2 linked regions of the Drosophila melanogaster genome follow. Changing the gene in region 1 together with any one later gene gives a genetic interaction. Each region holds a gene or a part of one and is shown on either strand. Other genes may lie near its edges. The genes, in order: Sur and pnt.

The links.
Region 2: of Sur (region 1) and pnt, changing one enhances a phenotype caused by changing the other (phenotypic enhancement), as found in Drosophila melanogaster (one study listed by BioGRID).

Annotation. Positions count from the first base shown.
Region 1 is NT_033779.5:10,196,075-10,200,955, forward strand, and holds the start of Sur (sulfonylurea receptor), read right to left. Parts: upstream 3,044-4,881; 5' UTR 2,550-3,043; coding exon 2,374-2,549; intron 1,184-2,373; coding exon 918-1,183; intron 864-917; coding exon 688-863; intron 12-687; coding exon 1-11. Other genes in the region: Ripalpha (RPA-interacting protein alpha), read right to left, coding at 3,758-4,162, 4,217-4,282, 4,342-4,464.
Region 2 is NT_033777.3:23,342,948-23,347,820, reverse strand, and holds the start of pnt (pointed), read left to right. Parts: upstream 1-1,653; 5' UTR 1,654-2,423; intron 2,424-4,873.

The sequences.
Region 1 (4,881 bases):
TCGTGATAGCACTGTGGGTTGGAAATTTGTTGTTAATTCAGTTAATTCTATAAATCACGAGAGTCCTGCGACAATTGTTAATTCGAAAAGCACACACACAGCTAAATATTTCCGCTCATCCACACTTTTTTGTGTATTTAAATATTCAACTTGAGCCTTCATTTCCTACTTTGCCTGTTAGCACGGGACTCATCATGTTGCAAAGCCACAAACTGGATGGCAAAAAAAAAGAAAATATATAGAATAAACATCATAAACATTTTCGCCAAGTATGAAAGACATTAAGCTGAAAATCACCACTTAACCCCAATTAAAATTTAAACATGCAACAACTCGCATAGCGATTTTTGGCTTCCTCTGTTGCGCCAACTTGCATTTATTAGCGCAGCATTTAAATAAATACGTTTTGGCCATTGAAATAAACACATTATTTAAATAAAACAATGGAGTAGTTTCCATTCGCTTGGTAAGAAGGAATTTGAAAATTTTAACTTGAGTAATACTATTAAGTTTTAGAACAATCTACATTGATAACTCCTTATAAATATTGTTTTTAAATGGTTGGATTTCAGGTAAATAATATTTAAATTTAATATCCATTAATCCATTTTTATTCTTTAAATACTACAAAATCTCCTAGTAAGCTTTAAAGCCATAGATTGAAGATATTTTTCAATAAATGCTCACTTCTTTGTACACAGTTAATCCGTCCAGCATTGCCAGGGACACCATGCACATGGCAGACATGGCCACCAGGCACGTCTGCAGCTCCAGGAAATCCTCGTAGCGAACCAGCTCGAAAAGTTCATTGGAGAGCAGGGCAAATGTCAACGCCTCCACCGCAGTGCTGGCATACAAAAACACTGAAATTGGCATAAAACTAGATGAGGGAACTTCTCTATTGGCCAAAAACTCACCTGTCGCCTTTTTGCGCTCCACCATTCGATGGTAGAGCATTAGCATGAGGGTCAGCAAAGTGGAGAAGAGCGCATTCCACAGCTCACCCGATCCAATGACAACCAAATAGTTGAGATCCCTGGGACTCGACTGGAAAAGTCTGTTCAGATTCCGAACATTTTGATGGGGCAAAAAGATTCTGGCCAAATCAAAGCTATTCAGGGCCAAAAGGAGTAGGGAGATCGCAGCACGTCCATTGTGGAACGTAAGCAATGTTTTATGGCATCTAGTTTAAAAGTTAAGAGGTTTATATAGATATGGATATCATCTATGATCATATATCACATAATTTTATATGGAAATCCCTCCAGATCATTTCTTACAAAGATCTCATATGGAACCACTTCAGCATAATAAATCATAAAAATCATGCAGCTAAATTTCTATAATTAACTGCAGTGTAAATAAATTCAATAAATGATATTGATTTCGTGTTCATCCGCATATTTATTTATAAGAATCCGCCCTTAAAGCAAAGTGCGTTGCAGAACCAATTGAGATTTACCCATTTGAGATACATCCCATTGAGAATACTTTGGCACGCGATGCGTTATTTTTTTTTTCGAATTTGGAATGCCAAGTTGATTGTTTTTTAATTTCGCTGCGGGTTGCATTCGATTTTCAATGCACTTGAAGTACGGATATCAATTATGGGATTTTGAGTGAGTTTCCGGAACAAAATAAGGGGGAGATAATATATTTTATTCTAATTCTATATGTATAAATAGTTTTTCCTGTAAGGAAATACCGATCTTTTGACCTTTAGAAATTTCCGAGAACAAGTAACAATACTTCCTTTTTGGTCATAAAATTTTCACGTTTACTTTTTGTTTAAACAAACAATTAGCAACAGTCGATTGTGTATGCAAATGACTTAAAGTGCGTGCAAAAGAATAAAAATTAAGCACTTAAAATATGTTTTATGTTATCTTGGGCCATAAAATGCTGTCTGTGTGATTTCTAAATGAGGTAACAAACTTGAGCTCCCTAGTCATTTCTCCAGAATTCGTTTAATCTACAAAACGCATGTGCTAAATTTAAACAAATGTGCTCATTTGCTTCTCAAAAATATACGTATACATTTGTTGAATTTATTTACACTCTTATTTTGGACCTAATTGAGCAAGGAGTAAACTGGACATCAAACTTCTGATGATAATCATTTGAAATCCATTACATGTGACCTTATTTTCGTTTAAGAGCTTTGCACAATTTCAAGCAAAAAATCGCTTGCTCTGCTGTAAACAAAAGAAGTACATGTTTACACTTGGGTCGAAAATAAACAAATAAAAAAACAGAGCGAAATTCACTATTATTTTAGTTTAAACTTGAAAGTGTGTCAATTCAACTCTGGCCGCCCAAGTTGCAAATATACACATATCATATATTTAAATCCCGCAAATGAATAAAACTCACTTTTTGTATCTACTGCAAACAAACATCAATCCGAAAAGTAGCAGAAAAATGCTGAAAAACGTAAAAACACGCCGCACACGGTCAATGCCACAGATATCTGTATTCAAATTGTCATAAATGGAGCGAACATGCCCATTCAAGTGATCACAGTGTATTATATTGAACAACTGCTTCATGATGGCCAATAAAACCATGAACTTATGGCCAAAACGCTTATTGAACACTGCAAGAAGTTTTCACTTTTCCGATTTCAATTTAAAATCATTTGTATTTCGCTCACTATTAAATCGAGTCCATAGGCAGCACTTTGAAAACTTTGCGCCCAACAGGTTGAGCAGCAAATACAGAATCGCTCAATATAAACAAACTATTTCGCAATCGGGAATATGCAGTGCAATGTGTGTTATGCCCGATCCAATTCGATATATGTACATATATATATATGTATGTACATATGGATGGTACCACAATGGATTTCGTTCCAAAGCGAGAAGAGCGCGCCGCGTCCCCGGTTGCCATTCAATTATTATTATTATTCTTTTTAAGTAATTTTTGTATAAACAACACACAACGCAGAGATATGTGTGGCGCACGTTCGGCCGCGATTAAGAAATCTTCGCGAGAAGAAAAGGCCAACCGACTCCGACCGAGCGTGGCGGCTCACTAACCACACTGAGCACATACATTCTCGCCAGCAGGAAAAACGACGAAGTGCCAGTCAGCCCGAACTCGAGAAGATATTGCACTGATCTGAATCTGAATCTGAATCTGGGGGATCGCGCACGTGCGCGATGGGAAAAAGCTCTTCCCACATCGCCGGAATCGTGGGGTGCCAGCCCACTGATACCATCGACCCATATATGATGCACTAAATCAACTCGAAGCGAACCAGAAGTTATAAGCAATTAATAAATAGTTTGTTAAACTTTACAATAAGCAGAGAAAAACGTTTTATATTCATAAATCAAACTTAGTCTCGCACCTGATTTATTTTCTTAATCTAGAATGCCACATTAGAAGAATGGTTTAGTTTGAATTTTGTAAGAGCCTAGAATACATTTTATAAATCTGTTATTCCTAAGATTTTAATTTTAATTTGTTGTGCAATTATAACAATATGCTTAAAGATCTCATTTCTAGCCATAACTCATATCATTCTTTGGATTTAGATTAATTAGGGGGGGAATATCATGTATCACTGTTTCAAAAATTTAATACGCATATAAAGCCTTCGGATCTAAAAAATCTTCTGTGCAGATCTCTGGTTTTCCAAACTGATAAGACTGTCTGAAGTTTAACTTATGTAACTTATCTTATTATAACTAATAAACTCCTTTAAACTAGCTATCAGCAGTCAGCGGTAGAAACCAGCTCCATAAACGACCTAGACGGAGGAGAAGTAGTCGCAGCTGCCGCACATGTCGTATAGTTGTCCCGAAGCGGGTTCGATGAAAAATCGCAGGGCCTGAGTGCACTGAAGTTCATGGCTGGCGATTTGTTGTTGCAGCAGTATCTGCAGCTGTTCCATGTTCGCAGAGTGCTCGAAGCGGATGCCACACTCGCAGATGAAGGCACCTTTGTGATGGCGTAGGTTTTTAATCTGACAAACTGGGCATAAAACCTCCTTTTGCTGCTCATCGGGCTCTGCGTATAGCGTTTCCAGATTCTTTTCGCCCAGGGCATACCACTCGTTGACATCGGATAGTAGCTCCTCCAGAATCAGCTCCTCAAGCTCCACATCCTTCTCTAGCTCACTGAGTTCCAGGCGCAGGATTTCCCTGAGTTCGGACTGAAAAAATGGGTGGTTTATGATGGGCTTACTATGGAGATTTGTATGTCCTACCAATTGGATTTCTCGTTGGGCATCCGTGCATCTATTGCGCGTTTCTATGATGCGCTTGCGGTATTTCTACAGGGTATTTATGTGTAAGTATATTGGTACTTTAAGGGGTACACTGATGTCTTTACCTCTCGCAGCATTTCGCGAAGTCTTGGCATTTGGTTGCCCATCCGCTGTCTTTTGGCCACTTCTTGAGCATGCCGCTTTTGCTCCACGGAGGTGCGATAAACCGGGCTTTGAGTGGAGTTCATTTCGGTTTATTTGTATATGTGGTTATTTTGTTTGTTTTTAATCTTTTTTTTTAACTAGATATGGTAGGTCAGTGTCGTCAATAAGGCAAGGTTCCAATTTTATAGCGCTGTTGGTGATTGATAGTGATCTAAAAAGTATACGGTATTCAAAATTAATTAGGTAAATTAAGTGAAATGAAGTAAATGTAAGATACGACTCATCTCCACATATATATAAAAGATTATAAAATAAGTAGTATTACTTAACACAGCCCATGAAGACAGCTCGCACAATGAATTCATGAACTAAGGGCGGCTTAAATACACTATTAACATGTTTAACCAACTTACCTAGTAATTAGCAATCGGAAATAGTTGAAAAACACAACTTTTTTGCTAAAAAAAAAAATCCGCGCAATTTGCTGTTGCTCTGCTAGT
Region 2 (4,873 bases), on another chromosome or scaffold:
GGGCATTAAATGCCCTATTTGCTGACAATTTAAGGACAGCTGCTGGCCAATTGAGTTGGCCTGTTGGCCATGTGTTTTCCAACTGCTGAAATGTGAAGTTTTTTCTACTAGTTCTCCGCTGCAATGGCATCATGCAGTCACGCACACAGGCGCATTCATTCATAAAAATCCGGCTCACCTACACGAGTTGTAAGATTCCAGCGCAGTGGAGAGAGGGAGAGAGAGTGGGAGAGCGGCGCGCATGCGCTCTTTGAGTTCTTTTTTTTCGCTTGCTGCACTTGTCGCCCCCTTTTATGTTTTTCAGTTTTACCTCTGCGGCAGCAATTAAGTTGCAGCAGAGGTTGACAATCAGCCATATTTTTATTGCACGTGTTTCGTTATGCAAGGCTGGTTAAGTTTTTTTTTTTTATGTGTACATATACGCTCCCTTGGCCGGGAAAATCGGGAACGCCATCAAGTTTTGTTATCCCGAATCTTATTGCCCTTTTTCTGGGTGCAGCTGGCCATTTGACTGCCGCCCCTGCACTTGCATTCACTTATGCTGTGTAATTTGTAATTTATGCGAAATGCGTTGCCGGAATATAAAAACATTGCAGTCGTTTCAGTTCCATATCGCCGCTCTCTGTCGCACACACTCTCCGCACACATAAACCTGTTTGTGTTTTTGATTTGCGCGAAAGAGAGAGAGAGAGAGAGCCTTTCGAACGCACAGTGGTTGTCATGGTCACGGTGGGAAAATATCGCGCTTAACTTTTTTTGGGGTGTCCAAAAGTATTTTCCCAAGCTGCAGCTTTCCCACATTGTGTGCAAACTTTAATAATGATAATAATAAGTTGATAATTTAATCTCACATCAAAATTTTCATATAGGTATTATTTCATATTAAATAAATATTTTATTAATTATTATAACAAAGAAACTAGTATAATTTTCCTTTTAAATAAGCTGGAACTGATATTTTGACCAATTTACTTTATTTGTCAAAAATATAGATTTGTATAAAATCCAGAATCAAAATAAATAAATTTTTATATCAGTGTACACAATTGAAAGACTGAGACTGCCAAATTTTAAAATATTTGTCTTTATTATTCCGCCCCCTTTGCATACTAAATATTTTAAATATACTAGTGATTTTGGGCACTGTTTAAATGCTTGCCAAAAACGATCGCCCGCACACACACACACACACACATACACGCACCCACACACTCTCTCGCATATTCGCACTTACACTGAGTTCTGAGCAAGCAGATTTTTTTTATAAATTGTTGCTATTTTTTTGTCGCTGCAAACACTTTGTTTTTGCTGCTCGAAATATGTAATTCTGATTTCCATTTTTTTCTTGCGCTCATGATGCACGCTCTAGTGCGAGTGCGAAAGAGATAGCGAGATTGAGGATCACCCACGCCTTTTCGTTTTCATTCCAGCGATCAAGTAAAATAGCGAATAATGTTTATAAGTCAGATTGATATAACTCTCGATTTTCATATTATTTGCCATTTTTGTTATCACTTGCCAGAGCAACACAAAAAAATATTAATCTTAGCAGCGGAGAGAAAGAGAGAGAGAAACGGAGAGAGAAGGTGCGTCGGCGTTGGCGTCAACGCTGCGTCTGCGCCAACGTCGGCGTCGCTGCCGCCTGTTGCCAGTCGGTCAGTCTGTTTTTGTCTTTCTTTCGGGAAGCGTGCACTTGCGCTACGGTAAATTCGATTTGAATGAATTATACGAATCAAATAACAAATAAATAACAAATGCAAAACACTTTGCAAGCCAAGCAAAAACCCAGTGTGTAAGTGAATGAGTGCAATAGCAAAACATCTAAAGATCTGCGCGCGCAATATACATCAAAAAAAGGAAGGCAAACAGCAACAGAAAAAAAAACGCGGTTCAGAAACACAGGAAACCAATTTCTATATACGAAATTCATCATAAAACCACAAAAATCTCCTCAAACATCGCGTGAGAGTGCCTGAGTGTGAGTGTGCGCGCGCGTGTGTGTGTTTGCCAGCGATCCGTCGGCCTTTTTTCGGTTTGTTTCTTTTCGCGTCTTATAAGCCGAGCTAAACCGATCCCCGATTTCTTCTCGAGTTGTTCCTTTCGGTTTTTCGTTTGTCTTTGTGCCCGGCACGTAATCCCTCTCTCTCTCCCCCTAATCAACCTGCTGATCCCACCGGAGGGTTAAAACATACACATCTATACAGCGTGATAGAGAGAGAGAACGAGCAAGAGATAGTCATCGGTGCTGCGGAGTCCATCAAGATTGTGCGCCTAATTTGAAGCTGTAATTAATTTGGATACCCTAATAAAAAGCCAACCGAAAGACGGTCTTTAGAATCCAGAACCCACAAACCAAAAATCAAGAGCCCAGTAGCCCCCGCCTTCTTGTTCACGAAGGGGCGCTATTTTATTACCCCGCACCGGTAAGAAAAGTGAAGTGTTGAAAAACAGTAGTTCAAGTATTAGTTTTTGTTATTTTCCCTACACTCGAAACAAAAATCCAGCGAAAATTAAAAGACAAAACAATTGAAAACAAATAATAAACCATATATCTCTTAATTGCTGTTGATATATAGTTTTGAAATATAACTTTTAAATCATATTTATCTTAAAAATATGAAATTTAGAGAGTTTCTTTTGAGTGCATGTAAACCCTTTTTGTGTTGGTGTTGCCTGTTTTCTTGAATGAATCTAGGAGAAAACTGGTTTGGCTACCGCTCGGTAGATCCGCCGATCTCGCGATCTCGCCTCGATTCAGGATTGCTGCCTCTATAAACTCGTTGTTGGCCAGGCCAACAGAATTTGAATTGGTTTTCTACTCGGCATCATAGCCAAGCTAGTTAGCCGCCAGTGTGCGTGAGTGTGTGTGTGTGGGGCACTTCCACAACCCTTGTGGGAAACACGCTCGAAATTACTACTGTTCCTTTTACAGCTTCCGGTGCGGCAAATGAGCTTCGCCTGCCCCACGATCGCGTTTCGGGCCATCAATCCAAGGGGTTTGGTAATCGAGAATGTGTGAACGGTTTTTGGTTAGGGTCAAGAATCTAGCACAGCGATCGCATTAGACAATTAAGTATCAATAAAACTGATACCGGAGTGCTACTCTTTTGACCTTTCGGTTTTAAAGTATGTATAATTGGGGCTTTCCTGTTCTGCACTTTGGGTTACCTGAAAGGGTTTTTAAAAGGATCTTACAATTTGGGATGTAAATTAAAGTAATTATTAATACAAAAAAGATCAAAGGATAGTTAAAGGCTTAACCGATATCATATTTTATAAAAATGTTACCATTAAAATGATTAATTTTACAATAAGATTTTGCTTAGATCAATTGTTATTATTTCTATGATAAAACTTGATTTACGTCCTTATCGCAGTCTTAAAGCCAAAAAACGATAATTTAAGGAGTTACGATCATTGAACTACTCTAAAGACATGTTTAATATCCCTTGGGCTATTTAAAAAAAACCAATTTGCGAGCAAAATACACAAGGGAATGATAAGAAATTATTGCCATAATCGATAATTTGATGTGTGACGATCGTCGGATCATAATTGAGCCCAGCTACCGCCAACCGCTCCTCTCCCTTTCCCTCCTCGAGCGTCTGGTCCGAAATGAAAGACCAGTTCAAGATCCTTTTCCATAAATACCCACAGACAATTACAGTTCAGTGGATGTTCGACGGGCTGGTTCGTTGCCCCATGCCACGTTAAACTCGGATTCTGTGCCCGGACCGATGCTAAAAGTATCAACCTGCTGCAGACAGGCCGAGATCAAGATCGATCCCATGACAAGACAAGACGACACACTCGCACAGATATGCCACACACACAGATACTCCGCACACATAGATATTCCGCACACACATGCAGTTCGGACTGTTCTGCGACAGATAGAACAACACATGTGTACACAGGCAGGCATCCCGAGGATCATCAGCGGATCGGAGATCCCTTCTTTACATTCAGCGCGAGGAAAAAAGGGCCAGGCGCTGGGAAAGAAAAGAGCAGCGACTAAATGTGTATTCTACCGTTACGTACACATCGAAAAATTGCACCCCTATTTGTTGCCGCTGCTGGTGTTTTAGTTGTTGCTGTCGTTGTCGTCTGGCCGAGGAGTGCGCACCATATCAAAAGATCATATTCGTTTACAATCTGTTCTTTAAGCATCTGCTGCGCCCAGACTCTCCTCCAGACATCAAAAACTCGGACTGCCAGACATCTTCCACTCGTTTGGTCCACTTACTATGGGCCAACCCAAAAAATTTTGCTCTTTTCCAGGGAAAACATATGCTCCGATTTTCGTTTCAATTCGATTCGTGTGGTTTTTTGTTGTCGCCCTCGCTCTCCCTCATACATACGTATATATAATATTTTATTTTATTTTATTTTTTTTTTTCGGTTCGGTTATCTACGTGTCGGGGCGATAAGGTTTTTTGTTCAGATAGTTTTAGCGATTGCGACTCGTTTTTGGCACCCTGCCGAATGATTTTTGGTGCTCGAAATGCTGCGATTTGAAGGCGGTTTTTGAAAAATGTGCCACTTTCAAACTTACGCATTTGTTCCTCGATTTTCCCTCTGGACTTATCTGCATTTGAGGAATTTATTTTCATATGAATGATTGATTGGTTTCAAAAAAAAAACTGTGGAATTCGCGAATCGATAAGGACAATTGTCAAGTCACTTTTAATTAATTGACTAAATAAACCCAAATTAATCTCTGCCACTTGGAGGCACAAGTGTTATTCGCACTGGCTTATTTACTTAGTTAATCTACGTAGTATGTGCTTTTACGATTATTGTAATTGCTGCGACGATCGCTTATTTTCCTTGTCTTCGGAAAATAAACTAATTTCATTCACAATTATGTTAG